Arabidopsis thaliana: one gene and its partners. The protein of the gene in region 3 purifies or fractionates together with the protein of the main gene of each other region. This does not show direct contact. Each region holds a gene or a part of one and is shown on either strand. Other genes may lie near its edges. The genes, in order: VTC4, AT3G02860 and AT1G26160.

What was found.
Region 1: the proteins of AT1G26160 (region 3) and VTC4 fractionate together in Arabidopsis thaliana (co-fractionation; one large-scale study listed by BioGRID). This does not show direct contact.
Region 2: the proteins of AT1G26160 (region 3) and AT3G02860 fractionate together in Arabidopsis thaliana (co-fractionation; one large-scale study listed by BioGRID). This does not show direct contact.

Annotation. Positions count from the first base shown.
Region 1 is NC_003074.8:627,012-637,524, forward strand, and holds VTC4 (Inositol monophosphatase family protein), read right to left. Parts: upstream 2,915-10,513; 5' UTR 2,672-2,914; coding exon 2,659-2,671; intron 2,576-2,658; coding exon 2,520-2,575; intron 2,435-2,519; coding exon 2,384-2,434; intron 2,260-2,383; coding exon 2,179-2,259; intron 2,095-2,178; coding exon 1,991-2,094; intron 1,894-1,990; coding exon 1,809-1,893; intron 1,668-1,808; coding exon 1,613-1,667; intron 1,480-1,612; coding exon 1,436-1,479; intron 1,348-1,435; coding exon 1,279-1,347; intron 1,189-1,278; coding exon 1,088-1,188; intron 977-1,087; coding exon 920-976; intron 831-919; coding exon 731-830; 3' UTR 501-730; downstream 1-500. Other genes in the region: AT3G02860 (zinc ion binding protein), read right to left, coding at 58-146; ILR1 (Peptidase M20/M25/M40 family protein), read left to right, coding at 4,982-5,341, 5,436-5,561, 5,810-6,124, 6,217-6,345, 6,450-6,848; AT3G02880 (Leucine-rich repeat protein kinase family protein), read left to right, coding at 7,808-9,098, 9,286-9,603, 9,697-9,971.
Region 2 is NC_003074.8:618,742-628,915, reverse strand, and holds AT3G02860 (zinc ion binding protein), read left to right. Parts: upstream 1-1,548; 5' UTR 1,549-1,758; coding exon 1,759-1,847; intron 1,848-1,982; coding exon 1,983-2,082; intron 2,083-2,281; coding exon 2,282-2,441; intron 2,442-2,634; coding exon 2,635-2,917; intron 2,918-3,111; coding exon 3,112-3,187; intron 3,188-3,281; coding exon 3,282-3,328; intron 3,329-3,430; coding exon 3,431-3,617; 3' UTR 3,618-3,753; downstream 3,754-10,174. Other genes in the region: VTC4 (Inositol monophosphatase family protein), read left to right, coding at 12-96, 238-292, 426-469, 558-626, 717-817, 929-985, 1,075-1,174; SKOR (STELAR K+ outward rectifier), read left to right, coding at 5,443-5,681, 6,264-6,488, 6,572-6,635, 6,703-7,042, 7,122-7,417, 7,492-7,572, 7,649-7,747, 7,839-8,249 and 3 more; AT3G02840 (ARM repeat superfamily protein), read right to left, coding at 9,297-10,174. UniProt on the Arabidopsis thaliana protein: Essential for breaking seed dormancy before seed germination. Prevents reactive oxygen species (ROS) accumulation in response to abscisic acid (ABA) and oxidative stress, probably by repressing the accumulation of ABA-induced ROS-scavenging enzymes (e.g.
Region 3 is NC_003070.9:9,040,519-9,051,514, reverse strand, and holds AT1G26160 (Metal-dependent phosphohydrolase), read left to right. Parts: upstream 1-4,465; 5' UTR 4,466-4,569; coding exon 4,570-4,827; intron 4,828-4,987; coding exon 4,988-5,112; intron 5,113-5,642; coding exon 5,643-5,680; intron 5,681-6,003; coding exon 6,004-6,114; intron 6,115-6,195; coding exon 6,196-6,275; coding exon of another isoform or gene 6,276-6,317; exon of another isoform or gene 6,318-6,393; coding exon 6,394-6,430; intron 6,431-6,522; coding exon 6,523-6,564; intron 6,565-6,645; coding exon 6,646-6,731; 3' UTR 6,732-7,093; downstream 7,094-10,996. Other genes in the region: AT1G26170 (ARM repeat superfamily protein), read left to right, coding at 50-109, 193-262, 349-413, 492-553, 630-753, 840-897, 993-1,105, 1,264-1,341 and 12 more; PERK10 (proline-rich extensin-like receptor kinase 10), read left to right, coding at 8,642-9,779, 10,045-10,455, 10,531-10,617, 10,740-10,810, 10,900-10,976.

The DNA of each region.
Region 1 (10,513 bases), on a different chromosome or scaffold from region 3:
GTAGAAACCCAGAAGTGACATCGAAACGAAGAGAAGAAGAAGCTAACAACGGTTTACCTAACGAGAGGAGAATCTATGCGGGTGTCTTTCTTCTTGGCGTTGAGTTTAGACCGGAACATGGCCTTCTTCTTCGCTTGAGCATCCATCACTCTCCTTCGTAGCAACCCACGCAACTCCCAAATTATCACAACCTCGCAAGGAATACGAAGATCTGAGAAATTTGTTCTATTCAAATCAAACCCTAAGTCCTTAGAGGAGGACAACAGTCACCGTGAGAATCAAAATTCCTCCCTCCGTTCTTCTCCGCAATCTCTTCTCTTTTACGGGTCGGGTCGATCCAACTCGGGATTAGACTTGAGACTTTCGGGATGCTTCTGGGTCGTTAGTCGTAACTGGGCCGGACTCATTATCCCCATTTTCCTCTGTTGTTAATTTAGTATGGATCACAAAATACCTTAAACTCCACCTTTTATAAAAAAAAAAAAAATGCAAACTCGATTACAAAGATCAACTACATGGAAGAACAGAATTATATCATTCAATACCAAACATATGATTTTTTTTTAATTGAATTCACAAAGGGTAGCAGAAAGAAAATAGTTTTTTTTTTTTCTCAACAATTGAGTTTGTTTTCTTTCTACCGAAAAGAAATATTCAATAATGTTAAGTTTTTGAATTGAGTTTGATCATATAAGGTTGAGACCATATTGTAAAATAATAACAGATGACTTCATGCCCCTGTAAGCCGCAACGCCTCAGCGAATAACTCCTTGAGAGAAGCGTTTGAAGCCGCGATCCTCTGCGATGTTATGTCCAAATCTTTACCGGATCTGATGAACAAAGACGACATAAAACAGTTAGTTATAATCAGTTGGACGGTTTGAGAGTGAGTGTGTTTGGTTTAATCTCAAACTCTTACGGATCAAAGATGAGTCCACCAGCTTCTTTCACGATAACAATTCCTGCTGCAATGTCCCTGTGAAAGATTTGATATTATTATGCCATCATCAGGATCTAATTTTGTTTGTACAAGAAAGAAATCCCCTTTTTTAATCCAAGCAAGGAAAAAAAAAAGAAGACAATTTACCATGGACCACCGAAACCGAGCTCGTAGAAGATATCAACCCTTCCACACGCAACGCCACAGAGGTCCAGTGCACACGAACCACTCATCCTAAGGGACCTGACCTGATGAATGAAGGACACAACAATCATGAGTTTTGGCAGAGACTAGAACCAAATTGGTGGAGTTCCAAATATCTATCGATAAACTTTTACCTTGGTTAGCAAACTGTTGATTCTGTTGGTTGTATCGTCTAATGTAGCTTTATCTCGTTTAGTACCCGCCTATATTCAATTGGTCACATTAGCGATGAGAGGAGGCTTCATAGCAATCTAGTTTTAGTAGTCTAACACAAAGGAGCCAGATTTTTACCTCTGTCACGAGCAAAGCGGTTAAAAGTTCGCTTTGAGCTGACACTGCAAAAAGAACATTGTTTGAGTTGAAAAGAAGGAAGAGAACTCAAGTCTCTGAACAAGTGATAGCTATACTCCGGATGCCATAAAAAGAGATCAAGAAATTTTTTATTAGGTCTCTAGAACAAGTGCTAACCTTTGATTCGCTTTCCATTCAAGAATGCTCCTTTCCCTTGGACACCGGTGAATAGCTGTTTGATCATTAGATATTATGTAAGAATTGAGAAAAATCTTGAAACATGCATGTACAGAGCACCATCAAGGAAACTATGTATAATGGTAAGTTGTAACGATCGAAGAAACTTGAAACAATGGAATACACAATCTTTTACCTCTTCCATAATAGGATTATAAACAACTCCAACAACAGGGACTTTTCCAATCGTAAGTCCAATGGAAACACACACGAAAGGGAACCTACAAAAAAAAAACAGCATTTGTTTTTGTTTTTGATGAAATGGGCAAATGAAACACACAGGTCATTCAAATGGGAATTGATCAATAATGATAATACCCGTGAACGAAATTGGTTGTTCCATCAAGAGGATCAACAATCCAAGTTGGTTCGTCAGTTAGTTCTGTCACACCAAATGCAGCTGTAGTTTCTTCTCCTATGAACTAATAAATTATAGCAAAACTCTAATGATCAACGCGAGGAAGAAGCCAACAAAATGGGAATTCAAAAGAAGAAATAATCACCACCTTGTGATTGGGAAAGAGCTGCTTGAGATGATTAAACACAAGTTCTTCACATCCTTTATCAGTCTCTGTCACCAAATCCACCTAAAAGCAACAATTTAAGGAGCCATAGAAGATAATTTCAAAAAAAAAATTGACACTCTTAAGTAGCCATTCCCACTTATTGAGTGATTGAAACATTATCTGAGCGGAGGAAAGAAACAAAAACCTGGCCTTTGTGTTCAACATGTTTAGTCTCGTAAAACCCTTTACGAATGATCTGCAGAACGCAAACCAAAAGGAGCCAGATTAAATAACGATTAGCCAAAATATCGATCAAAACTCAAGGAGATCGAAAGATAGACCTGTCCAGCTTTTTTAGCGGCATCAATGGCGGCAGCCAAAAACTGATCTAGAGAATCTGCGTCAAATCAATGTCGCCCGAAAGAAAATGAGGAAACAGGGAAATCAAATAAGGTTTGCAGAGATTGATCGTGACTTTACCATTGTCCGCCATTTTCGAGAGAAGACGAAAAGAGTGATGCTTTCTTTACTTTGGGATGTGTTTCAGAGAAAACCAAAAGTTACGGTTTTTGTGGTTAGGCACAGAGCGAATATTCGAGGCATCTAATCTTATACTGTATTATATTAATTACCCAATTAGGCATCCGAAATCACCCAATAATCACGGTCCGATATGGGAAATAAGAGGATTTCAGAAAATCCGTTATACAAAAAGCTAACCAATGATCATTTGAAGATTAGATTTCACCTCAATTTTATCATCCAACTTTCTCTTGACAAAACCCGCATTCTGTAATCAGTTCTCTTTTCCGGGTCGGACAGACCCGAGTCGGGTTTGGACTTGAGACTATTGGACTGGACTCCTTATTCTGAATATGGGCCGGAATTCTTTTTTTTTAGAACAAGTGCATAACACGGAAGGAAAAAGATGTTCTAATTTATTCTGAATATGGGGCCGGAATGATATTGGTGCATACTTGTCTTTCTCTGGCTGGTTCACTTACATTGATGAGAAAAATGCGAAGAACACTTTGAAATCGGTTTGTGATCAAGAGACAAAGGAACAATCGTCTACTGCTTCTGCCGTTGTGTGGACAAGAAAAACTCATTCAACACCAAAATTATGTTGTTTTATTTTTCCGATATTTTACATTTTGTCTTATAAATCTCATGATATAACAGTAGCCCCTTTCTGAGAAGAGATTTGTTTTGCATACTTGTGTAATTTACATTTAAAAAAAACACAGATCAACAGAAGAACAGAACTAAACACTAACACTCTAAACGAGACCACCTCTCCAACACGAGACATCAAACGCCACACATACACAATCTCTGCAACCTAAGAACAGAACTAAACACTAACACTCTACAATCTACTTGTTCATTCTTGAGAAATCAAAAGTCTCTATTCACCTTCTTCTTCTTTCTTCTTCTTCGAGAGAAACGAAAATCAACAATCTTTTTCATCTATTTCTCTTTGGAGAAGAGAAGCAAAGCATAGAAATGTCCATCACTTTATATTATTTGTTGTATTCTCCATTCATAGGCAAAGAGAGAGAGAAAGATGTCTTCATCATAGCTAAGCTTTTGGTTGCCTTAGAGATAGTCTCGACCTTTCTCTCGTTCCAAGACAGCGATGACGCTCTCTGCTGCTCTCGGCGGAAGATACAGCCAGTCCCAACGTACATGGACTTTGAAGTAGGTACTAACATGAACGTAGACAGTGTTGTGGTTAGTATACTTTTGAGGATCGGATCATCAACCTTATCAGTTGATTCTTCAACTTAATTAAACTCATTATATAAAAAACAAAATATTTATGTGACCGTTAAGAACTTAATTGTGAAAGAAGAGGAAATAACAGAGAAAAAAGGGAATTGTAATGTGACCGTTAATTGTGATTAGCAATATCCCTTTTTCTCTCAAATAATAATTGGGGCATTTGCAAATCTTACACTTGACTTCCTTGAAAAGAAAGCCTCTGTTGCGTAATTACAATTTGCATTTTGGTTGTATGTTTGTGATTGTTTCATAGGTCTATTCCACAACTTTTTACCTTTTTTATTTTTTTACTCTCCACAACTTTGTACCTATAACTAAATAATATAAAGTCACAATTTTGTACGGATATTCTGATGTTTCATTAGTCATTTACATTTTTATTGATTATGTTCGCATGTACAGCTACTTTCGTAAACAGCTTCTTTTGTACGAATTGTTCTAGAGAATTTTCGATCATAATCAAAATATAAACAAAATGTTTAACAATGCGCTTCAAATAGGTGGGCCTTTGTTATAAGTAATTTAAAAGTCGAAGAACCCAATGGCCTATATGTCAATCAAATACATGGGCCTATGTTATAAGGAATTAAAAATTTAAGAACCTTAAAGGCCTACATGTGATTCTCACAACTCTAATTCATGCCATGTTTTATTTTAAAAGTGTTAATTTTCATTAACATAAATGGTAAAATCGTGTATTAAACGTACTAATTCATTTCAAGTAAATATTCCTTTTATACCGTAAATATACTACATTGTATCATTTTCATATTTTATCTTTGGTATTTCATTATTTTCTTCACATTACAACCATAAATTATGAATTTCACATTAGAGGCGTATACGTATTTAAAAACGATTAAAAGAGTTTCCAAAAACGTGTGTAAATTACGTACTATATAAATATTAAAAATGGATCGGTGATCCAACTCCTTCTCCTTCATCATCATCGTATTCACCGTTGTCCTTTCTTTCATTGACACTTGCCAGTTTACATCGACAAACAAAAGAAATCAGAATGGATTTCTCAGGGAGCTTCTTTGTCATCTTCGTTACCTTCTTCTTTCTCCCTCCTCTGTCTTCAGCTGGGAGCTACGATTCTGGTTCGGGTCTCGAGTCACTCGCTCGCGGGATGCTTCATTCAGCCAAGGATCCTGAGTTCTTCGAGTGGATGAGAGGAATTAGGAGAAAGATTCATGAGAACCCAGAGACAGGGTTTCAGGAGTTCAAAACGAGTCAACTCGTTCGAGACGAGCTTGACTCGCTTGGAGTGAAGTATAAGTATCCTGTGGCGAAGACTGGCGTCGTCGCTTGGATCGGATCCTGTTCGAAACCTGTTTTCGGACTTAGAGCCGACATGGACGCACTTCCGTTACAGGTTTGAAATCTAATAATCAAAGTTCCGATTTTTACTCTGATTTTTAGATTGCTTTGTTTGACTAATGAATTTGAAAAAATGGGGACAAAAAAAGGAATTAGTGGAATGGGAATCGAAAAGTAAAGTAGATGGAAAGATGCATGCTTGTGGTCATGATACTCATGTTGCTATGCTTCTTGGTGCTGCTAAGCTTCTTCAAACCACAAAACACCTCATCAAGGTCTCTCTTTTTTCTCTTTCACTCAATTTATATGTATAATTTTGAATGATTCTGTCTGTGCCCTGCAATTAAAACTCATTTCGATGTGGGTTAGTGTTTTCTAAGATTCTTAGATATATGTGTGTGTATGTCTTTGATTGCTAATTGTTATGTGTGTGTGTTTTCTAGAGTTGTTAGTGTGTGTGTCTTATGAGAGTTTGGTGAATCTTATGAGGGTTTTGAACGAAAACACAATTTTTTTGCAACAGGGGACAGTAAAACTTGTGTTTCAACCAGGCGAGGAAGGTTATGCAGGTGCTTATGAAATGCTAAAAGACGAGATTCTAGACGACTTAGATGGGATACTCAGTGTTCATGTCTTTCCATCGATCCCATCAGGTGGTATTGGTTCTAGGCCTGGGACCGTTCTTGCAGGTGCAGGATTGTTTACAGTCACGGTTCACGGTCAAGGTAGCCACGCAGCTACACCGCACTTCTCTAAAGACCCGGTTCTTGCAGCTTCTTCCGCTGTTGTTGCCTTGCAACAGATTGTTTCGCGGGAACTGGATCCACTCGAAGCTGGTGTAAGTTTGCTTTCCACTTTCAAAGCATTGGTGTTTGATGAATCAGAATCTTGGCTGAAATCAGCGGAGATTGGTTTTTTTATGTTTCTCAGGTGGTTACAGTTGGATATATTGAAGGAGGTCATGCTCAAAACGTAATACCGCAGAGTGCGAAATTTGGAGGTACTTTCAGAAGCTTAAGCAACGATGGGCTTCTATTTATCCAAAGACGGATCAAAGAGGTAAAGAGATTGTTTTTTACACCATTTTTCTATACAATCTTGTTCTACTATTCGAATAATGTAGGTCCCTAACCCTGTTTAAATGTTTCTTGATGATGATGCAGATTTCAGAGGCACAAGCATCGGTATACCGATGCAAAGCAGAAGTAAACTTCGAAGAGAAAAAGCCGTCGCTTCACCCGGTAATGAATAACGACGAGGGCTTATACGAGCACGGTAAAAAAGTAGCGGAAGCGATGATTGGAAAGAATAACTTCCATGATTTCCCGGTGACAATGGGAGGAGAGGATTTCAGCTTCTTCACTCAAAAGACTAAGGCTGCGATTTTCGTGCTGGGGGTAAAGAATGAGACGCTAGGCGCTGGTAAGCCGCTTCACTCGCCTTACTTCTTTGTTGATGAAGAAGCTCTTCCTGTTGGGGCTGCTCTTCACGCAGCTATGGCCGTTTCTTATTTGGACGAACATGGTCATAGCCATGAAGAAGAGGTTAAGAGTGAATTATAGAAGGTGTTGGGAGAAAATCAGCTTATATTAGTCATCATCTATTTGTATTTGAACTTGAAAGTTAGGTGAGGTTAGGTTTCGGGTTGGGAAGAATGTTTGTTAATAGTCACGAGAAACCAACCACTTCTATTAAAATAAATTTGATGTAAGAGTTTTAAAAATTGAACAATTGAAATCTTCAAAATGAATACCACTTCTTAAGTTCTCTGTTGACCATTTCTATTACCTTCCTTTCAAATTGATACAACAAATACATAAAAAAAAAAAAAAAATGTCTATGGTACAAACTTATATCAGAAATAAAAACGGTGTCGGAGAGGCTAATCTTTGTTTGTCAACGGTAGCTCAGACACATTTGACAGACCTGGCATGTCTTTGGTCACACTCAACCTGCAAAAAAAAAAAACATAAAAGAAACAAAACGATAACGACCATTAATTTTTTAATTAGACCTAATTTATTGATCTAATACAAAAGAAAGGAAAAACAGAGGTCGTTTAAACGTCTACAAAAAACATTACTGCAGTGATTTATTGTCATTTATGTAACGCAAATATAGTTGACTCTGATAAAATTGTTACAACTAGTATTCATAAGTCATAACCTTATAATTAATTAATTATCTTTCTGTAAATTAGCTGTCAAATTAAATACATAAGATTCTCTTTTAACTTTTTTGTCAAAAAGGAAATATTCCAATTAGTAACTTTTCTTTTTTTCCTTTTTCTCTGCAATTATGACCATTTTCTCTCTCTTAGCCGGCTCTAGAGAGAGAAGAAAGACAGAGCTGAAACTCTTGTAAACCAAAAAACACAAAAGTCTCTTTGTTCAAACACTCGTTTACGCGTAGCCGAAATAAATTTTCCAAAAACCCATATCCGAAAAAGTCGATATATTTATTGAATTTTTGGAACCAAGGAGACGAAGAATTTACACGGTTTTTGAAGAAGAAGAAGAAGATGAAGTATAAGCGTAAGCTAAGTCTCTCTGTTGTCTTCCTCTTTGTCTTCTATCTCGCTGCGGTGACTTCAGATCTAGAGTCTGACCGGAGAGCTTTACTCGCTGTTCGTAACAGTGTCCGTGGCCGTCCTTTGCTATGGAACATGAGTGCTTCTTCTCCTTGTAATTGGCACGGAGTCCACTGCGATGCGGGTCGGGTCACGGCTCTCCGATTACCCGGATCTGGTTTATTCGGTTCTTTACCAATCGGTGGTATTGGTAATCTAACCCAGCTTAAGACTCTTTCTCTCCGGTTCAATTCTCTCTCTGGTCCTATCCCTTCGGATTTCTCCAACCTTGTTCTCCTCCGTTACTTGTATCTTCAAGGTAATGCCTTTTCCGGTGAGATTCCGTCGCTTCTCTTCACGCTTCCGAGCATAATCAGAATCAATCTAGGGGAGAATAAATTCTCGGGTCGGATCCCGGATAATGTCAATTCTGCGACCCGGTTGGTTACTCTGTATTTGGAGAGGAATCAACTCTCTGGTCCGATCCCTGAGATCACGCTTCCTCTTCAGCAATTCAATGTTTCTTCTAATCAGTTAAACGGGTCTATTCCGAGTTCGTTGTCGTCTTGGCCTCGAACTGCTTTTGAAGGTAACACTCTCTGTGGGAAGCCTTTAGACACTTGTGAGGCAGAGAGCCCCAATGGTGGTGACGCTGGAGGACCCAATACGCCGCCGGAGAAGAAAGATAGCGACAAGTTATCCGCCGGAGCTATTGTCGGGATTGTGATCGGATGTGTTGTTGGTCTGTTACTGCTTCTTTTGATTCTGTTCTGTCTCTGTAGAAAGAGAAAGAAAGAAGAGAACGTTCCATCTAGGAATGTTGAAGCTCCTGTCGCTGCTGCGACTTCCTCCGCTGCTATACCAAAGGAAACGGTGGTTGTTGTCCCGCCGGCTAAGGCTACGGGGTCGGAGAGTGGTGCGGTGAATAAAGATTTGACCTTTTTCGTGAAATCTTTCGGGGAATTCGATTTGGATGGATTGTTGAAGGCTTCAGCTGAGGTTCTTGGGAAAGGAACAGTTGGGTCGTCGTATAAGGCAAGCTTTGAGCATGGGTTAGTGGTGGCTGTGAAACGGTTAAGAGATGTTGTGGTGCCTGAGAAAGAGTTCAGAGAGAGATTGCATGTTTTGGGATCAATGAGTCATGCCAATCTCGTGACTCTGATCGCTTACTATTTCAGCCGTGACGAGAAGCTTCTTGTCTTTGAGTACATGTCTAAAGGAAGCTTGTCTGCGATATTGCACGGTATAGAATAGTAATCTCCATTTGTGCATTTGTTTATTTTTAGGGTTCTTAGTTTAGCTGATGCTAGTTTGTGATCTTGATGGACCTGGTTTGGCTAAAATTGACACTGATTACTGAATTGTTTCATAGTTAGTTTATCTTATGTGTCTTCAAGCTCGGTTTTGAAGCTCTTTTAATGGATTTGTAGGGAACAAAGGAAACGGGAGAACTCCGTTGAACTGGGAAACCAGAGCCGGTATAGCCTTAGGAGCTGCAAGAGCGATTAGCTACCTACATTCGCGTGATGGGACAACTTCTCATGGAAACATTAAGTCCTCGAACATACTATTATCTGACTCCTATGAAGCTAAGGTCTCTGATTACGGTCTTGCTCCCATCATTAGTTCTACATCTGCACCTAACCGTATTGATGGCTACCGTGCCCCTGAAATCACTGATGCTCGCAAAATATCCCAAAAAGCTGATGTCTATAGCTTTGGCGTCCTAATCCTTGAATTACTCACAGGTAACAAACAATCAAGGATAGATATATCTTTTTAACTGCTTTTTTTGCAATTGCTGTGGTTTCTAGGTTTTAACATGGAACATTACATTGCAGGTAAGTCTCCAACGCATCAGCAGTTGAATGAAGAAGGCGTAGATTTGCCGAGATGGGTCCAATCTGTTACCGAGCAACAAACACCGTCCGATGTGCTTGATCCCGAGCTCACAAGGTACCAACCTGAGGGCAATGAGAACATCATTCGTTTATTGAAGATCGGTATGAGCTGTACGGCTCAGTTCCCAGATAGTCGTCCTTCGATGGCTGAAGTCACCAGACTCATTGAGGAGGTTTCTCATTCATCTGGCTCCCCAAATCCTGTATCCGACTGATTTTTTGGGGGTCTAAATTGATTGATTTGAATATTGTTTGGGGTCAAGTTGCAATTTCTTGAATAGTGTCGACCCCACTTCCCGCCTTTTTTCTACTTCTTCTTCTTTGTTCTTGTTCTAGTTTGTTCGTTAATTCTTGAGCCTCAAATTGAGATGAGACCTATCAGTTTCTTTTTTTCTTTCTTTCTACTTTTCTTTATTTCCAAAGTTTTAAAAATGTCTATAAAACTATTGCTTTTGCTAATTTTTGTATAAATATATAGTTGATTGCGTGTGAATAAATTGGTTTTTGTTTTCTTCTTTACACATCTTATCCCAGAATCCTAGTCAACGATTCAGCCAAAAAACAATGTCAACGAGTTTTATTTTTTATCGCCGTCCAAAATTTTGAGCCAAAAACAAAGTCAACGACAAAAGTGGTCATGAATATCGTCTCACGATTGACTGACAAATACTTCACGATTTGATTAGATATGAAGTTTTATAATGTGAAGTTGGTAACCACTAACTAATAACCCTACTTCACAGGAGAAAGAAAAAAC
Region 2 (10,174 bases), on a different chromosome or scaffold from region 3:
TTTTTTTGTAGGTTCCCTTTCGTGTGTGTTTCCATTGGACTTACGATTGGAAAAGTCCCTGTTGTTGGAGTTGTTTATAATCCTATTATGGAAGAGGTAAAAGATTGTGTATTCCATTGTTTCAAGTTTCTTCGATCGTTACAACTTACCATTATACATAGTTTCCTTGATGGTGCTCTGTACATGCATGTTTCAAGATTTTTCTCAATTCTTACATAATATCTAATGATCAAACAGCTATTCACCGGTGTCCAAGGGAAAGGAGCATTCTTGAATGGAAAGCGAATCAAAGGTTAGCACTTGTTCTAGAGACCTAATAAAAAATTTCTTGATCTCTTTTTATGGCATCCGGAGTATAGCTATCACTTGTTCAGAGACTTGAGTTCTCTTCCTTCTTTTCAACTCAAACAATGTTCTTTTTGCAGTGTCAGCTCAAAGCGAACTTTTAACCGCTTTGCTCGTGACAGAGGTAAAAATCTGGCTCCTTTGTGTTAGACTACTAAAACTAGATTGCTATGAAGCCTCCTCTCATCGCTAATGTGACCAATTGAATATAGGCGGGTACTAAACGAGATAAAGCTACATTAGACGATACAACCAACAGAATCAACAGTTTGCTAACCAAGGTAAAAGTTTATCGATAGATATTTGGAACTCCACCAATTTGGTTCTAGTCTCTGCCAAAACTCATGATTGTTGTGTCCTTCATTCATCAGGTCAGGTCCCTTAGGATGAGTGGTTCGTGTGCACTGGACCTCTGTGGCGTTGCGTGTGGAAGGGTTGATATCTTCTACGAGCTCGGTTTCGGTGGTCCATGGTAAATTGTCTTCTTTTTTTTTTCCTTGCTTGGATTAAAAAAGGGGATTTCTTTCTTGTACAAACAAAATTAGATCCTGATGATGGCATAATAATATCAAATCTTTCACAGGGACATTGCAGCAGGAATTGTTATCGTGAAAGAAGCTGGTGGACTCATCTTTGATCCGTAAGAGTTTGAGATTAAACCAAACACACTCACTCTCAAACCGTCCAACTGATTATAACTAACTGTTTTATGTCGTCTTTGTTCATCAGATCCGGTAAAGATTTGGACATAACATCGCAGAGGATCGCGGCTTCAAACGCTTCTCTCAAGGAGTTATTCGCTGAGGCGTTGCGGCTTACAGGGGCATGAAGTCATCTGTTATTATTTTACAATATGGTCTCAACCTTATATGATCAAACTCAATTCAAAAACTTAACATTATTGAATATTTCTTTTCGGTAGAAAGAAAACAAACTCAATTGTTGAGAAAAAAAAAAAACTATTTTCTTTCTGCTACCCTTTGTGAATTCAATTAAAAAAAAATCATATGTTTGGTATTGAATGATATAATTCTGTTCTTCCATGTAGTTGATCTTTGTAATCGAGTTTGCATTTTTTTTTTTTTTATAAAAGGTGGAGTTTAAGGTATTTTGTGATCCATACTAAATTAACAACAGAGGAAAATGGGGATAATGAGTCCGGCCCAGTTACGACTAACGACCCAGAAGCATCCCGAAAGTCTCAAGTCTAATCCCGAGTTGGATCGACCCGACCCGTAAAAGAGAAGAGATTGCGGAGAAGAACGGAGGGAGGAATTTTGATTCTCACGGTGACTGTTGTCCTCCTCTAAGGACTTAGGGTTTGATTTGAATAGAACAAATTTCTCAGATCTTCGTATTCCTTGCGAGGTTGTGATAATTTGGGAGTTGCGTGGGTTGCTACGAAGGAGAGTGATGGATGCTCAAGCGAAGAAGAAGGCCATGTTCCGGTCTAAACTCAACGCCAAGAAGAAAGACACCCGCATAGATTCTCCTCTCGTTAGGTAAACCGTTGTTAGCTTCTTCTTCTCTTCGTTTCGATGTCACTTCTGGGTTTCTACAATTCCAAATATTTGTGGGTTCTGGGGATTGGGCTTGAGCTGTAGTTGGGATGAAGAGTTTGTTCTTTGGATTTGTAGGTACAACGAATCAGACCAGCCTGTGTGTCGAGTTTGCAATGTCGTCTTGAAATCTGAATCACTCTGGGATGTACATCAAGCTTCTCGTAAGCACCACGAGGTAAACTTAGTGTCTTCTGCTCCATAAGCTTTACTTCACAATCTCTTATAACCTGAGTAACAACAATGGGATATTTGATAAATTACATACATTGAAGATAGGTAGATTTCATGCTCTTATATGATTTTATGCGTTAGATTCTCTGTTTTATGTTCTTTAATCTTATTAACTTAGCTTTCGTAATGTAACGTTTGGACAGGCCATTGATAGTCTCAAGGCTAGTGCAGCGGGAGTCCAACGGGGTAGCAAACCTGCTGAAACTCGGCCAACGAAAATTGAAGCTTTGGCTAAATCATCCAATTCTCAGACATCATCTGGTCTTCCGCCAAATTTCTTCGAAAATCGTGAGCCTGCTAGAGGTAATGACTAATGCACTTTCCTCTTCTTGTTCTTATCTTTTTCGAATAATTTTCTTAGTAGAAGGCTTTTGGTTTAGGTGCTAGTTATGTGGATGCCATGCTTAAAGGCTCTAGTCTTAGGTTTTTTGAAAGATTGATGATAGTTTCATTCGTCAATCGAAAAAAAAAACTTATTGATCAAATATATGTGCAGCAGAAGTAGAACCAGCAAAATCCAAGAATTTAGAGCAATCAAAGCACACTATAGGATCTGAAACAAATAAGTCAAAGGGACCTCTTCCAGCCGGATTCTTTGATAATCAGAAAACTGATTCTTCAAATACCAAAACCACCAGTGAACCTAAACAGAGTCAGACACAGACCACTGGTCCAGAAACAAAACCAATGGTGAATGGAAACCTTCCAACCGGTTTTTTTGATAATAAAGAAGCTGACCTGCTTGCCCATGGAATCAAGCTCGTCAAACCAGATATCAAGTGAGTTTCTTCTCTTTTTTTTTTTGTTGCTTTTACTTTTCCAGATGCAGAAAATCAAAGTGAAACCTCATTGTTGTGGACCTTGTGATCCAGTTACTTTCCTACATTCTCAATTTGAATGGTTCATATGATCTTATGGGTTTGTACCTAAGAATTCTCTTCGTGAACTTATATAAACATGGATCTTCTTACAGGGATGAATATAAAGAATTTGAGAAGTTGATACAAGATGATTTGCAGGTAGTGGATAGCCGCATGGAAGAAGAAGAGGTCAGATAACTTTCTGTCACTATGATAAATTGCTGACAGTATCATAAGCTCTTTCTTAAACTTAAAATCGCTTTTCTCGCACTCTAATTGTCAGGTTGATGCTGCGGAAACTATAGAAGAGGAGGAACAACGAGAGCAAAGGTAATTTGATTCATTACTTTGTTATAGCAAGAAGATGGAAATGTTGAGACTTGTTTAAGATTAAGTAAACACTTGGCTTCTCCTTTTAATCTTATTCTGCAGATCATACAAAGAGAAAGTAGAGATTCTGAAGAGGAAGAAAATGGAACTTAAAGCGGCAAGATTAGCGAAGCGCAGTAAAACCTCTGAGGGGTCTGTTAAAAAGCCGAAGAAGACAGAAGAAGAATCGCCCAGCGATGAGGAGGATGACGAGGATTCTGCTGTTGATTGGAGAGCTCAACATCTTTGAATAAACTAGAAAAGACTGTTTAAAAATCTGTACCCTGGTAAAACATACAATGTTCTATGAGAATATACAGTGAAAACTAATCAATCTCATATATATACAATTATCAGTTTCAGAGGATCAATTGGTATTTGAGGTATAGTTATCGGTTAATGGGTATAATTCAAGAACGTAATTTTCATAACCAGAGTTGCCAAAAAGGCCGAAATATCTGGGGATGAAACCTGAAACTGTGGCAGTTCCGACCAGTTTCAGGTGATAAACTAAAAAAAAAAAAGTGATTATGACTGGTGGTCGTATCATTCTAGTTTTGAGTGAGAATGTTTCAGATATTGATCATTTGGTGGCACAAAACATAATGACGAAAGTGGTAAATTTAACAATCATCTTTAAAGTTAAAACTCTTATTATTGTTAAACAAATACATGTGGAATAATAAATAATTGAGACAATTCCAGAAACCAATTAGGGGTCAAATATGTCGAGAAACTAATTAGGGGTCAAGTATTGAAGAAGGAAGAAGACCACTAACTAAACATATTCATATTTTTTTGTGAATTTTTGGACTATTTGTGATTACCAACCATATGCTTATATAACTTATAAAAAAAATGCATTAGGCTTTCCACTATAAACCATTGACATTTGAAATATTTAAATCAAGATATATGCATAACCAAAAAAAAAAGGGTTATGTTATCTTGTTTATAACTTGAAAAGGAGTCCACAAAACAAAGAGAGAGAGAACAGCCAAAGCAAAGGTCGGTTAATGCACAATCGATGATATAACAAATATCCCATTAGAACATAAAATTAGTTAACTAATTACTTCTGACCTAACTGAATGCACTCAATCTCCTATAATACCTTAACATTATCTAGCTTGACTAATCATATAAATTGTCACGTGAATTTTCTAATGGTAAAGTGTTTCACAACGGGAATCAAAGTTTAGGGACATTTCAGTTTAGAGTCTATCCATCATAACACTTGTATCCCAACTTGGTTTTTCCAAATTTGTTTTAGATAAAATACCATTTTTCGAATTCATCGTCTTCATGTGAATTTTAGGAAAAAAAGAGTGACAAAACACACACACGCACACACACATCGGCTTCGACCTACATAACCAAACGATATCTTGTAAAATACCACACACAATCACAAGTGTTTAATCTTATGATCTCTAATCTCTTATGCATGTTTAAACGTGATAAAGGAGAAATCGTTTAGCATTAGAAAGAAAGAAACATTTACGAATAAAATGATCGAAAAAGTGACTTCCTCGAACTTTATCACATCACGATACCTTATCACATGTACGTAACACGTAATGACTTATTGTTTATCTTGTGGTTATAAAAGACTCTCTTATCATTTATATGGTGCTCTTCATAGGTCATTCTAAAAATAAACCCATATCTCACTGGTTCACCTTATTTTTTAAAACATATTATTATTCTTTTACACTACGTTATCTTTTATTATGACCATAAAAATATTAATATAGCATGGGCTTTTTGAATCACAATTTGAACTTTTAATGTAAAAAATAAACAACAGCACTAACAAAAAAAAACCGAAAATTTGTGTATAAATTTCGCCGATTCCATGGTGTTGTTCATCGAATTAACTTGAGTTGCTATTTTTTTCTCTATCTGATAAGTTTCGAAATTTGAAAACACAGGCGCCAATTTTAGGCATATAACTGAAAATCACAAAAAGGAAATAAGAGAGAAAGAGAGAGAAAGAGAAAGAGAGAGAAAAACAGAGAGGTTGTCTTCTTCGTCAAATATCCGATTATCTGGTATCGTGATTCGGAGGTGTAATGGGAGGTAGTAGCGGCGGCGGAGTTTCTTATCGTAGCGGCGGCGAATCAGACGTGGAATTAGAGGATTACGAGGTTGATGATTTCAGAGATGGGATTGTAGAATCGCGAGGAAACAGATTCAATCCTCTCACCAATTTCTTAGGGTTAGACTTCGCCGGCGGTAGCGGTGGAAAGTTCACCGTCATTAATGGAATCAGAGATATCTCCAGAGGCTCCATTGTTCATCCCGATAACCGGTACACCATAAATTCTCGTCACGCTTTTGAATTTTGTTTTCTGAGTCCTTTAACTTTTAATAGTTTCATAAGTAGGCCTTATGTTTTATTTTGTATTATTCTAGTCCACTTACTTTGTTATATGGATTTTAGGGTAGGTATTGATTAATTTCTTTTTTTCTTTATACTGAGACTAAATCTTATAGAAATCAATCTTCCTATATATTTTGAAGCTACGTACTACTTTTATTAGAGAAATTTTGAAGGAAATTTGTTAGCTTAACAACTTTCGGGGTCAATTGTAGTGCAAACAAAAACATTAGGGGCTTGATTGTGGATTTAACCTTCCTTTTTAGTGTAATAACATTTTCTTCGGTTATTCATTCATTTCCCGCCACTTTATGACACGTATCAGTTTCTCAATGGTTACAAATGATCGTTGGTTAAAAATGTAACAACCATGAGTCTGTACACGTCAGACCAGATTAAAGAAGAAAACTCTGTTTCGCTGAAGTTTGGAGCAATAATAGAAGTAGACTAAGTAGTGAGTTTAGTTTAGCTACTAAATACTCTGTCCGGATCTAAAGATTCTTGAATTTGCAGGTGGTACAAGGCGTGGACGATGTTTATATTGATATGGGCACTTTATTCTTCCTTCTTCACTCCATTGGAATTCGGATTCTTCAGGGGATTACCAGAGAATCTGTTCATCCTCGATATCGCTGGCCAAATCGCTTTCTTAGTAGATATTGTCTTGACATTCTTCGTTGCTTATCGTGATAGCCGAACTTATAGAATGATCTATAAACGCAGCTCAATTGCTTTACGGTATTCAAACTCTACTCTGTTTCTGTTTTCTTGCTATCTACTCAATGAGATTAACCTCTTCATGGTGTTTGTCAATTTTGTAGGTACTTAAAATCAACTTTTATAATTGACTTACTTGCTTGCATGCCATGGGATATCATCTACAAGGTATACACTTTTTACTCTTTTGATTTTGCGGGAAACGGAGAATTTGAAACTGTGAATTTGAAAACAGGCTGCAGGCGAAAAAGAAGAAGTGAGATACCTATTGTTGATAAGGCTATATCGAGTTCATAGAGTAATCCTGTTTTTCCACAAAATGGAGAAAGATATAAGAATCAATTACCTTTTTACAAGAATCGTCAAGCTTATATTCGTCGAGCTTTATTGCACTCACACCGCAGCTTGTATCTTCTATTACTTGGCCACGACGCTTCCTGCTTCTCAAGAAGGGTACACTTGGATTGGAAGCTTGAAGTTAGGAGATTACAGTTACTCGAAGTTTAGAGAGATCGATCTCTGGACTCGATACACTACTTCTATGTACTTTGCAGTTGTTACTATGGCAACTGTTGGTAAGTTCTGATAACTGAAAACTTGGTGAATATATCGTTTGCTTTCATTCCTTAACTTGGTATGTTTCTTATAATGCAGGTTATGGAGATATACACGCGGTTAATATGCGGGAAATGATATTCGCGATGGTCTACATTTCATTCGATATGATTCTAGGAGCTTACTTGATTGGTAACATGACAGCTTTGATTGTAAAAGGTTCGAAAACAGAGAGATTCCGGGATAAGATGGCTGATATCATGCGGTATATGAACCGAAACAAACTCGGTAGGAACATCCGTGGTCAGATTACCGGACATTTGCGGTTGCAGTACGAAAGCAGCTACACTGAAGCAGCTGTTCTTCAAGACATTCCTGTCTCTATCCGTGCTAAGGTATGATGAGTGCTTCAGAGATGCTTGTTCAGATTCAGATGATGAACAAATGTAAACTTATGTTGTTACTGCAGATTGCGCAAACTTTATACTTGCCGTATATTGAGAAAGTTCCTCTCTTTCGCGGATGCTCATCTGAATTCATTAACCAGATTGTAAGCCTTTTGATTTTTTTGAAAATTACTTTCTTTCTTCAGGTAACTAAAGAGCACACTTTTGCTTTTATTACAGGTTATAAGACTTCATGAAGAGTTCTTTCTTCCTGGAGAAGTTATAATGGAGCAAGGAAGCGTCGTTGATCAGCTCTACTTTGTTTGTCACGGTGTATTGGTAAACAAAATATCTGTGTTTTCGTCAATAAATGTTAGGAATGACTAAAAAATCTCAGTTACTAAACCAAACTTCTTGTGATTTCAATCAGGAGGAGATAGGTATAACAAAGGATGGATCTGAAGAAATAGTGGCAGTTCTACAACCAGATCATTCTTTTGGAGAGATTTCAATCCTCTGCAATATTCCTCAGCCTTACACGGTTAGAGTTGCAGAGCTATGTCGGATTCTAAGGCTTGACAAGCAATCTTTCATGAACATACTCGAGATATTTTTCCATGATGGACGGAGGATTCTCAACAATCTGCTTGAAGGGAAAGAATCTAATGTCCGGATTAAGCAACTAGAATCCGATATAACCTTTCATATCAGTAAACAAGAGGCAGAGCTAGCTCTGAAGTTGAATAGTGCGGCTTTCTACGGTGATCTTTATCAGCTTAAGAGTTTGATTCGAGCTGGAGGTGACCCGAATAAGACAGATTATGACGGAAGATCGCCTTTGGTATGCTTCTACAGCTTCTCGGTTTCTTAAATCCAACATTGGAAGATATCTATTAACATATTTTTGTTGTTAACAGCATCTTGCAGCCTCTAGAGGATATGAAGATATTACATTATATCTTATACAAGAATCAGTTGATGTAAATATCAAAGATAAATTGGGGAGCACACCTTTACTAGAAGCAATCAAGAATGGGAATGATCGTGTTGCGGCGTTGCTTGTTAAAGAAGGAGCTACGTTGAACATAGAGAACGCAGGGACTTTCCTTTGCACCGTGGTTGCGAAAGGAGACAGCGATTTCTTGAAACGGCTTCTTAGTAACGGAATTGATCCTAATTCCAAAGATTATGATCACAGAACACCTCTTCATGTAGCTGCCTCTGAAGGATTTTATGTCTTGGCGATCCAATTGGTAGAAGCAAGTGCTAATGTTCTTGCAAAAGACAGGTAACTTCTTTTTTAACCAAATAAAGAGCGGTTTGTTTTCGCGGTTGCTAACAGTTTTTTTTGTAATTAGATGGGGAAACACACCTCTTGATGAAGCTTTGGGTTGTGGGAACAAGATGTTGATAAAGTTACTCGAAGACGCTAAGAATTCTCAAATCTCTTCGTTTCCGAGTGGCTCCAAAGAGCCTAAAGGTAGTTTTATCGGCATATAAGTCAAAGTACCGATGTTTTTTTAGATAGAAACTTTAACAAGCGGTTTGTTTATTCGAATAATCTGCAGATAAAGTCTATAAGAAGAAATGTACAGTGTATTTTTCACATCCTGGTGATTCGAAAGAGAAAAGAAGGCGCGGGATTGTACTGTGGGTACCTCGAAGCATCGAGGAGCTTATAAGAACAGCAAAGGAGCAGCTGAATGTTCCGGAGGCTTCTTGTGTATTATCTGAAGATGAAGCCAAAATTATTGATGTAGATTTGATAAGTGATGGACAAAAACTGTATTTGGCTGTTGAAACATAATGATTCGAGCAAATTTCAAAAAATCAGTTTATTTAGAAACAGAGTAATTACAAAGAATAATAGTGTGTTTTGTTTGTTTGACTAAAATGATTTCTTCACATTCTTCAAATGCATTGAAGAATCGACACAATTTGTCTTCTCGATCTCGTTTCTACAACGGTTTAAATTCCGCAAGAGCTCGCTCGCTTTCTCCTTCGTCTTATCCTCGCACCCGACTTGTAAGAGCACTAAGAGTTTCTCAAAGGCACCAACTTGAAGAGCTTCAACTAACAAACGATCATCACATTCTCCGTCTTTCTTATTCTTCCATAGCTTCCAAAGTATCGAAACCGAACATTGTGTCGCGAGATCCGAAACTCTAAGAATCTTCTTCACCAGAAGAGGAACGATCAAAGCGTTTCTAAGAACATCTTCTTTGCCTTGCTCGTTATCGCATGTAGCGTTTAAAACAACTAGAGATCTCTCGCAAACGCTCTTTTCGGCATTGTTCACCATCATCTCTGTGATCAACTCAACCAAACCCAGTTTCACAAATTTTTCAGTGATCTTGTCGTTAGAAGAAATCGCTCTATAAATCACCATTAAAGATGCTTTCGTGGAGCTAGTCGAAACAGAGTCTCTGATGATCTTAACTAATCCTTCACAAGCTCCTTCCACATCTGTTAACGCGTACACATACCTCTTGTCTACTGCAATAACCTCTCTGATGCAAAACGCAGCGTTTTGTCTCGTTTTAGCGTCCTTACCGTTCAAGAACCGTACGAGACAGTTAAGAGAAGCCGTTGATCCCATCTTGTTGAAACCTTCTGATCGATTCAGAGGCAACCAAGATGATAGAACAAACAAGATTTCCTCCAATAAACGCATGTGTCCATCACGCGCCGCCGCGAATCTTTCAAAACAAGAAGACAAAGCCAAAACGCTTCCGTTTTGGACCAAACACTTCTTGTTCGTGTCCC
Region 3 (10,996 bases):
TTTATTTTCTTAACTTTACAACTTACTTTCATATTTTTCCATTTGTTAGTTAAGAGAAGCTGTGCTCTTTACTTTGGCTTCTCTTTCTGATCAACTTGTTGAAGCTGAGGTTTGTGTTTCCCATGACAATTTTAAAAACGAAAAAATTACTTAAGGTGGGAAACATGTTATATTATATTATAATCTTTTCAGGACTTGAGAATCGACCCTGCCAATTTAGCTAAATTTATTGAGCAATTGATAATGGAAGATACTGGAATTGGTAGGTATTGTAAGATTTACTGCTCCAACATTACTTCTCATTTGGTATTCAAACTGTTGTACATAACTGGAGCCTTTATTTAACAGGGTATCATGAATGTCCTTTCCTTTATGCCCGCATATTTACAGCCGTTGCTAAGTTCTCTTCTGTGGTAATATTTTTATTTTGTTTTCTCCCTAAATAACTCTAATCAGGAAGACATGAATTGAATCTTTTTCACTTTAATCAGATCAACGCGGGAATCCTTGAGCACTTCCTCAATGCTGCAGTTAGAGCTATAACCATGGACGTGTATGTTTTCTACCCTTCTGCAATTCTGCTGTTTAGTATCTTTCAGAGATTAAAGTTAGATACTATTATAAAACAGGCCACCACCTGTAAAAGTAGGCGCATGTCGGGCACTTTTGCAGCTCCTACCCGATATGAACAGTTCGGTTATTCTGCCTCAGATCATGAATTTATTCTCATCTCTCACTGATCTTCTCCGTCAGGTAATTTTTCTACTGAGTGCCTTTTAGCATACAACATGCGTCTATTTTACTTTTGTGTCACTCGAGATTTATATTCTTTTATTCAGGCTACAGATGAAACTTTGGTTTTGGTACTTGAAACTCTTCAACAAGCAATTAAAGCTGGTAAGTATACATATTTTTACTCTTTGCAAAAAACTTTCAGAATCTAGTTATGCAGTAGTTCCCACCTATATCTTATTTTCTTTATCATCTGCTAGGCCATGAAGCATCAGCTTCAATAGAGTCGATTATCTCTCCAGTGATTCTTAATGTGTGGGTGGCACATATTTCAGATCCCTTTATGAGTATCGATGTAATTGACGTCCTGGAGGTAATTAAAGTGAATGTGGTTATCATTCATTTTGTTGTTAGAAATGCAATTTGCCTAGTTTGTTTATGCTAACACTTAGCACTGCTTATATCATTCTTAACTGAACAATAAAAAATACTTTGTTTGCGGCTAATTTCTTTCCTATGGCTGTCACACAGGCAATAAAGAATTCGCCTGGCTGCCTTCATCCATTGACATCAAGGATTTTACCATTCATTGGACCAATTTTAAATAAGGTGCTGTGCGGAATCATTATTTCAAGCTTGTGTTTCCTCTAGTTTTACTATCTTTCTTCCCTGGTTTCCTTTTAATGACATCTCGGTGGTGAATGGTGAGAATCAGCCACATCAGCAGCCTGAAGGACTAGCGAGTGGATCCTTGGATCTTTTAACTATGCTTCTTAAGGCAAGTTATACTAGCTAGATTTTCGTAGTACGCAATTATTTTTTATGCTAAATGGACAGTATTTGTGTTTTGCTGACTATTTTTCTAGTCATATATAGGGTGCCCCAAGTGATATAGTGAAAACTGCATATGACTTTTGCTTTGCTGCTGTCATTCGTATCGTACTCCACAGTGAGGATCATGGTGAACTACAGGTGATAAAATATTCCATTTCTAGTTTGCTTCACCTTTATATCGACGAAGGTCACTTATCACTAGCCTTTTAATTGGTCAGAATGCTACAGAATGCCTGGCAGCTTTTATATCTAGTGGTAGACAAGAGTTGCTCACATGGAGTGGTGATCCCGGTTTTACTATGAGAAGTTTGCTTGATGCGACTTCTAGGTATAGTTCTTCACTTACTTTTTCGATTAGTTTATTTCACGTCCACCAAAAGCTGAGGCCTACTGTTTTTTGTTTTCTTTTTGCATTTATTAATATGTTGCCAACACTTGCGCATGCAAATTCAGTTGATTTTTGCGTATACGTGAGTAAATCTATGCACCATAAAAAATAGTCTGAATCACCTGCAATTGTTCTGCTTTTTAGAGCCTTCTGTGACATATCTACATTTCTTGGAATCATTTGGTTTGTTTGTTCCTCAATGTTTTCCAATTGGTATCTTTTGAAGGGTACATCTTGTCTTTCTTTACAAAGTCGATTTCTCAATGTTCGTGCAGGCTTCTCAACCCTGATCTGGAAGGTTCAGGATCTCTCTTTGCTGGGAAGTACATTCTGCAGCTTATCTTGCATCTTCCGTCAGAGATGGCACCCCATGTCCAGGATCTGGTTGCTGCTCTTGTAAGACGGTTGCAGTCTGCTGAAATTTTGGCTTTAAAAGGCTCATTGCTACTGATTTTTGCCAGATTGGTAATCTTCACCTTTCAGTTGGATAGTTTTAGTATATTAATGGTTCCTATCTTCTTTGTAAGGTGCTGTCAAGGCTCCAAAAGTTCACAAAAATTTTTTATCAGTCCTGCGCTGTAACCATTGATTTTTGCAGGTTCATATGAGTTATCCGAATGTCGATCAGTTTATCAATCTGCTTGTTAGCATACCCGCTGATGGCCATGAAAATTCCTTTACATATGTTATGACAGAATGGACTAAACAACAAGGCAAGCATCTATATCCGTGTTGTCTAGTTGTATAACTCTATTTGTATAACGTATGCGGTAAGGGTTTTTCTGGCTATTTCAACTTATTGTTGGTTAAGCATCTATTTTCAGGGGAGATACAATCCGCATATCAAATCAAAGTCACAACTTCAGCTCTGGCCTTGCTACTGTCCACTAGACATTCTGAATTTGCGAAGGTCAATGTCCCAGGCAGTCCAATTCAGGTCTTATGCTGTACCCATCTTTTTTTGTTTTTTCTTAAAACGCAGTTTATTCTCAGCCTTACAGAAACTTGAGTTAATTTCTGGTATAGTCCAATGGTGGCATAACTACTCGCTCAAAAGCTAGATCTGCTCCTGAACAATGGACCATTATCCCTCTACCCATGAAGGTATGTTATTGGTTGATTCCTTGATTCCTTGATCTAAATGTTCTCAATGTACAAGATGCAAGTCGGAATATGTATTCGTTGGGGATATATACAGTTCTATCCTGTATCTAAATGTTCTTAATCAGTCATATCCTCCTTTCTTTTCATCATTCTGGTGTATGCTTTCAGAAACTTTACATTCTTTGGCTCTGCAGATACTGGCTTTACTAGCTGATACATTGATTGAAATTCAAGAGCAAGTTTTGAGTAATGAAGACGAGGTGATTATAGTTCCTTGAGCTTCTTTATTTCCTTTCCCATCGTTGAATTGAGTGGAACTTGAGATGGCTAATTCTGTTCTCCGGAGTAGCAGGATAGCGAATGGGAAGAAGTGCATGAAGGAGACGCTAAAGCTGAGAAAGACTTGCTACGTTCAGCTGGTACCTCCCAATTCAGCAAACCCACATATGACCAACTTGAAGCAATGGCTCGTTTTGAGGTCCTTTTTTCTCTTTTACCTACATGGCTACTATACCATTGAACCTTATCTTATCAGAGTTACCGATTGATTTGACAGAACCAAGACGATGAGGTTGATGACCACCTACTTGGTACCGACCCCCTTAATGAGGTGAACTCTTGTGTTCTACATAAGTGTTGTATCTGCTCCTAATTCTCCAACTCGTGATCTGTTTCACCAACTCTCTTTATCTCTGAAACAAACAGATTAATCTGGCAAGTTATGTGGCTGATTTTTTGTTGAAGTTTTCGAGTGAAGATCGGCCTCTTTTTGATAATCTTTGCCAGGTTTGGTTTCTATTCTCTTATAACCTATCAACATCATGAAACTTAATATGAACCACTCGGCTTGTTTTCAAATATCTGTAGGGCTTAACAAATGCGCAAAGAAACGTGATCCATATGGCACTGAACCGCTAGGCTTGGCCCGTTATAATCCACAACTCTTGGCTTGAGTGTTGTTTTTTGTCAGTTGATTGATTTTTGGGGAGTAAAGAAATGGTAGCATCCCTTTTGTAAAAGTGTAGTTTTACACAAGGTACTCTATTAAAATATATCTTTGCAACTTTAAAGACTGAAGAAAATCCCTCTAGTCTCATGTTAAACTTTACAGTAAACATCGTAGAATTACTAAACATCTAGTAATGAAACAAATACTAAAGGCCGACGGATTAATAATATCCATCTTAGCCAAACAAATATAATTTATGAACTTCATATTTTTCGTACGTTACGGTGAACGAGATTCGTGTAGTCGTTAGTACATTGAAGAAAAGCTAGTAGCCTATAATATTGGTCGCAAAGATTGATGTGGGGGAATTAAATCCTTCTAATTGTCCATATATTTATAGCCCGTGGGAGTAATTGGGCTGGGCTCTTAGTTGCTGATGTAAACGGGTAAGAAAAACCCGACCCGACACCGAGCAACCAGCTCCTCAAAGGAAAAGCAAAAACACTGAAACAAACAAAATCAAGTTCTACTTTTTTTTGTTTGCATAGAATCGAGATCATCTATGGCGGTGATTAGTCCAGCTACACGTTTCGCACCGCCGCTGAACCGGCCTTTTCACCGCCGATCAATACTTGCCTCGTTTCATTCTTCCTCTAGGAACTTCCTCTTCCTCGGAAAACCCACTCCGAGCTCGACGATCGTTTCCGTCCGGTGCCAGAAACCTGTTTCCGACGGGGTTAGCTCTATGGAATCCATGAATCACGTTGCATCTTCAGTTTCGTCTTCGATCGATTTCCTAACGTTGTGTCATCGTCTCAAGGTATGTGTTGAACCATATAGACTACTACCGATTCCGAAATCAAAACAATGGATTGAGTTAACAACACTTGAGAGTGGCTCTCAATTTTTGAATTGGAGATCTGCATAGTTATATTCATTGGTCAACATTGTCAAGTAGTGAACTTTTCCTTCTTGTGTAGACAACAAAGAGAAAAGGGTGGATTAATCAGGGGATAAATGGACCTGAATCAATTGCTGATCATATGTACCGTATGGCTCTAATGGCACTTATAGCTGGTGATCTTACTGGAGTTGACAGAGAAAGGTTCGGTTTTGCCTCAAAATGTTTTTCCTTTATTTAGATGATAGAGAAAGGCTACTGTATATTGATTGTACAATGCATTTTGGAAGGCCTGGTGTATACATATGATTTGTTTAGGTTTTTGATAAACGAGCTTGTAGAGCTCCGTGAGGGCTGATGTATGTACGTTTCTCTTCCTAAAGTGATTGGTTCTATCAGAATGCGGGTATCTAAGGAGAAACCGATAGATCGTTGATGGGCTAGTTAGTTATTGTGCACTTTATCTTCTAGAGAAGTGGCATATTCTGGAACTCAGGATGTAGTGAAAATGTTCCTGGAGTTGAATGAAATATATGAGCAGCTAGTCAGAATTACAAAACATGTGCTCTTAAAGATTTAGGTATGATTTGAATCAGACACGTTCAGAAAGTTGAATGAAGGATAAGATAGGGAGACCATCCGTGAACAATTGATTTTTAAGTGTGAATTCCTTGTTTTCTGGCTATTGCTTACTGGATTTTTCTGTCTTCCTTTTTTCTTGGCATCTTAAACAGGTGTATAAAAATGGCAATTGTGCATGATATCGCTGAAGGTAAATAAACATTTGATCCTACTTTTCAATTGTGAGGTTCACTATATTTCCTATATTCACTAGTTAGTTAAGTTTCATTCAAAAAATACTGGGTGGTTTGGAGGATACAAACTTGTATAGATTTATACCCTGAGTAGGGTAGTATATGTAATAGATACACTTGGATTCGTATATGAAAATTTAATTTGCTGTGGAGATGGAACTAAACATGTGTTGAGAGCTGATTACTTTGGTTTCTTTCTCTCAATTCATATATACTCTTCTTCTGCAACTTAACGCGTAGAAATTTTCAAAGCCTCACCACTTTACTGGCTTCCGAATAGCTATTGTTGGAGATATTACCCCATCTGATGGTGTGCCTAAGGAAGAAAAGAGTAGGAGGGAGACAGCAGCTTTAAAAGAAATGTGTGAGGTTCTTGGTGGAGGCCTCAGAGGTATATACGCCTTTGCCACTGTCATCTTCTATTGTTTTGGTTTCCAAAACACTTATTTATAAGCCTAATGTCAACGTGCAGCGGAGGAGATCACAGAACTTTGGCTGGAGTATGAGAACAATGCTTCTTTAGAAGCAAATATTGTAAAAGACTTTGATAAGGTGGTTAATGGGTTTCGAGTTTGCAACAATCGATGGCGTTAATTCCTGTTTCCTGTTAAGAGTCAAAACTTACTCAACACAAGGGTTACACTGACTCTCGTCTCTATTACTGTTTTAGGTTGAGATGATTCTCCAGGCGCTAGAATATGAAGCTGGTAAGTCTCAATCTTAAACTTTGTAATCGCATGTGCTTGTTGTTCCTCTCCCATCACAAGAAATCTCACTTGACGTTTGAACATCATTGCAGAACACGGGAAAGTGCTCGACGAGTTTTTCATATCAACAGCAGGTAGAGAACCCATCTCATACACTCTCTTTGCTTTACAGTTTTAAACGTGAAATCATTTGGTTTCATCAATTTCAAATGCAGGCAAGTTTCAAACAGAAATTGGAAAAAGCTGGGCTGCTGAGATCAACGCTAGGAGAAAAAGCCAATTGACAAACAGGCAGAGATAGTAAAATCCAGTTGCATCATACCTTCAATCTTCCTCAACTATCAACAGTAGAATCTCGGAAACTAAGCAGACTCCTCATGAACCAAAAGGTACAAGCTTCTAGTGAAATTTTCAGTTTTGTAGTTCAACGAACACAAAGTCCTTGTTTTTTTAACTTCCCCTTTTGGTTACTAGTTGAAGTAGAAAATGCTTTTTTTTTTGAGAAAAGTGATCAAAGTTTCTTATGAAAATCTGAAGTTCGAGGTTCCTAATATGATTATGTTGTAGTCACAACCCAATTGAAACATATCACACACTCTTGTAGTTGTTAATGTTTATCATAAATGATATATATGCATTTCTCTGACCCCACTTTAACGCGTGTGCATTGTCATTGTCACTGTTAATATTGAAATCAATGTTAGAACTTAGAAGAGAGAGTCAACAGCTACAGAATCTTGATACCAAATGTTGTCACGTGTATTATTACTTACATTCCTTCCTCTTCTTCGGCAATGATTATGCGTGCAATTTCCTTTTCACACAGACTGGTTTTGTTAACAAAGATAATGAAGAGCATATAAGATATGTATTTTAATCAACCGACACAAGTTTTTGCATAGCAAGATCCTCTCCACTAGCCCCAACTTTGTGAAGATAGAGAGTGACAAATTAAAATTACAAGAAAAAAGGTGGTGGTAATTGAAAATGAAAAACAAAGAACATAAAAAGTCAAGACTGAATAATTAAAAATGGGTTCCACAGTGCCACTGCCTATTTGTTTGTTGCTCTTTTTCTTGTTTTATCGGCATGTAAGTGATGGTCCCAAAGTTGTCAATATATCCCTTTCACAGAATTTAATATCCACCAACGAGTGAACTATTATTTTTCTATTATACATAACATTTTTTCTGGACCAAACGTACCATATGTTATGCACACTAGATATTCCAATTGTTAACTATTTACCCCATACCACAAATGATACTTTTTTCACTTGCATTATCTTTTGTTTTCTTTCGTTGTTTATGTCAATGTATTACGTAGCAAGCTTAGTCGAAATATCACACGTTATTGGTTGAAAGTTATGTGATTTTTACGATTGCCATAGTATTTGAGATTTGGTAAAGAAGCTGTATAATCACTATACTACTAAACAAAACAAAAAAAACTAGATTTGCATATCGAAATCGCCAGTTACCATTTTCACCAATGATATCGTAAGGTGTTCGTGTTTTTTTAATTGGCAAAATAAGAAAAAACTAGTATTAATTTTGACCATTGATTTTGACTTTGAAGGAAAGCATTCTTTTTCCTTTTATGATGCATAAATTTGTCTTGAGTACTTCCCTTGTAGATTTTTCTTATTTGCCTAGCGCTTGTTTGTTTGATGATGCGCACAATATCTTTTTTCCAAATTTTTGGTTTTTTCTTTAACAGCTTTACACAAGTTTGAACCTTCAGAAACCATTTTTGCTCAATCTCATAGACAGAGAGAGACAATTTACTTAGCTAGGTTCTAATAGCTCACTGTAGAGTTGGGTTTTGACTAGCAGAGGAAATTTTTGGTGAAGTGTGTGGTCTCGAAGGAAAAGCTCTTTATACAGATCCGAACAAGTTTGCATTTTTGTCATCTAATCAGATAATCTCGCTTATCTGGAATTTGCATTATTGGTGATCTGGGTTTTATCTGTTTAGTGTTGAAGCCTGTTGTCCGAGTATTTAGGGTTCAAATTATAGTACAGTGTTGAGTGATGTGTGGTTTTTAGTTGGTGCTTGGAGGTTACTGTCATACTCAAGTCTGGGAATTTTTGTTTCTTTTTTGTTTAATAATTTCTCTTAGTAAAGTAAGTGACGGTGTTTGTTCAATTTCAGTTTTTGATCAGAAGAGTGTTGGTGAAGAAGATGTTAGAATCTGGTCTTGGGATTTAGATGACTACACCTGCACAGGCTCCTAGGGAGGAGGTGTCACTGTCTCCATCATTGGCGTCCCCTCCACTAATGGCGTTGCCTCCACCGCAGCCTTCGTTTCCCGGTGATAATGCCACTTCCCCAACTAGAGAGCCCACTAATGGCAATCCACCAGAGACCACAAACACCCCAGCTCAGTCTTCTCCTCCTCCTGAGACTCCACTATCATCACCACCACCAGAACCTTCTCCCCCATCACCTTCACTAACTGGACCTCCTCCGACGACGATTCCAGTATCTCCTCCACCAGAACCTTCTCCCCCACCACCTTTACCAACTGAAGCTCCTCCTCCAGCGAATCCAGTATCATCACCTCCACCAGAATCTTCTCCCCCGCCACCTCCACCAACTGAAGCTCCTCCTACTACTCCTATTACATCACCCAGCCCGCCAACAAATCCACCACCACCACCGGAAAGCCCTCCTTCACTACCTGCACCAGACCCTCCAAGCAATCCACTTCCACCACCTAAGTTAGTCCCACCATCACATTCACCTCCACGTCATTTACCTTCCCCGCCAGCCTCAGAAATTCCTCCTCCTCCACGTCATTTACCTTCCCCACCAGCCTCAGAACGTCCTTCAACTCCTCCATCAGATTCAGAACATCCTTCTCCTCCTCCTCCAGGGCATCCAAAACGTCGTGAGCAACCTCCTCCACCGGGTTCTAAACGTCCTACTCCATCACCTCCTTCTCCAAGTGACTCAAAACGTCCTGTGCATCCTTCACCTCCTTCTCCACCAGAGGAAACTCTCCCACCTCCCAAGCCAAGTCCAGATCCCTTACCTTCTAATTCGTCTTCACCACCAACATTGCTTCCACCATCGTCAGTTGTATCCCCGCCTTCGCCTCCTCGAAAATCTGTGTCAGGTCCTGATAATCCATCTCCAAACAACCCCACTCCTGTGACAGATAATTCCAGCAGTTCTGGTATTAGTATAGCGGCTGTTGTGGGTGTAAGTATTGGAGTGGCCCTTGTGCTGCTTACTCTCATTGGAGTTGTTGTCTGTTGCTTAAAGAAACGGAAAAAGAGGCTCTCAACCATTGGTGGTGGCTATGTTATGCCAACACCTATGGAATCCTCCTCCCCAAGATCAGGTAATCTTAATCTCGTCTACTTTTATAAGGCAGTTAGTCTTTGCCATCCTTAAATGTCTTGGCAAGCATGGCAGAAAGAAGTCTCCTTGTATAATTGATTGTTTGAATCTTATTAAGACATGTTACTTTAAACTGAAGAGTTCATAGTTATTCAGAGATTAAGATAGTTTGTGTCAAGAGTTCATAAGTATGGATATTGCTATGTATATTTTGATTATCATCAGTATTTCTGGATTTTCATCTCCATATCTTTGTTATTATACAGATTCAGCGCTTCTGAAGACGCAGTCATCCGCACCTCTAGTGGGAAATCGTTCTAGCAATCGTACATACTTATCACAATCAGAGCCTGGTGGTTTTGGTCAATCGAGGGAACTGTTCTCATATGAAGAACTTGTCATAGCAACAAATGGATTCTCTGATGAAAATCTCTTGGGTGAAGGTGGATTTGGTCGTGTGTATAAAGGAGTTTTACCAGATGAAAGAGTGGTTGCTGTGAAACAATTAAAAATAGGTGGAGGACAAGGTGACCGAGAGTTCAAAGCCGAGGTTGATACCATAAGCAGGGTACATCACCGGAATTTGCTTTCTATGGTTGGATACTGCATTTCCGAGAACCGGAGATTGCTTATTTATGATTATGTCCCTAACAACAACCTTTACTTCCATCTTCACGGTAAGTAAGATTTCTAGACATAAAAGCACAAACCCAAACCACATTTACTTATTACTATCTTTCCATGGTCTTTAGCCGCAGGAACTCCGGGTCTAGACTGGGCAACACGTGTTAAAATTGCTGCTGGTGCGGCTCGTGGACTAGCTTATCTCCATGAAGATTGTAGGTTGCTACAACTCTTCAAAAATTTATGGATAAAAGAATCAAATTCTTTATGTTATTCTTTTGGTTCTTGGGGACTACATATTATTTGATGAATGATTTTAATGGTAAAACATTTACAGGTCACCCTCGTATCATACATAGGGACATCAAATCATCCAACATTCTCTTAGAAAATAACTTCCATGCCCTGGTATACATTCATCTGCTCTTCTGAATTTGCAAAGCTGCTGATTAATTAAAAATCATGGGTTCTAACACTGGTTAGAATCTTATTCGTAGGTTTCTGACTTCGGCCTTGCAAAGCTAGCTCTCGACTGTAACACACATATTACAACTCGGGTCATGGGAACATTCGGGTAGGTGCTGGTTAAGGTCC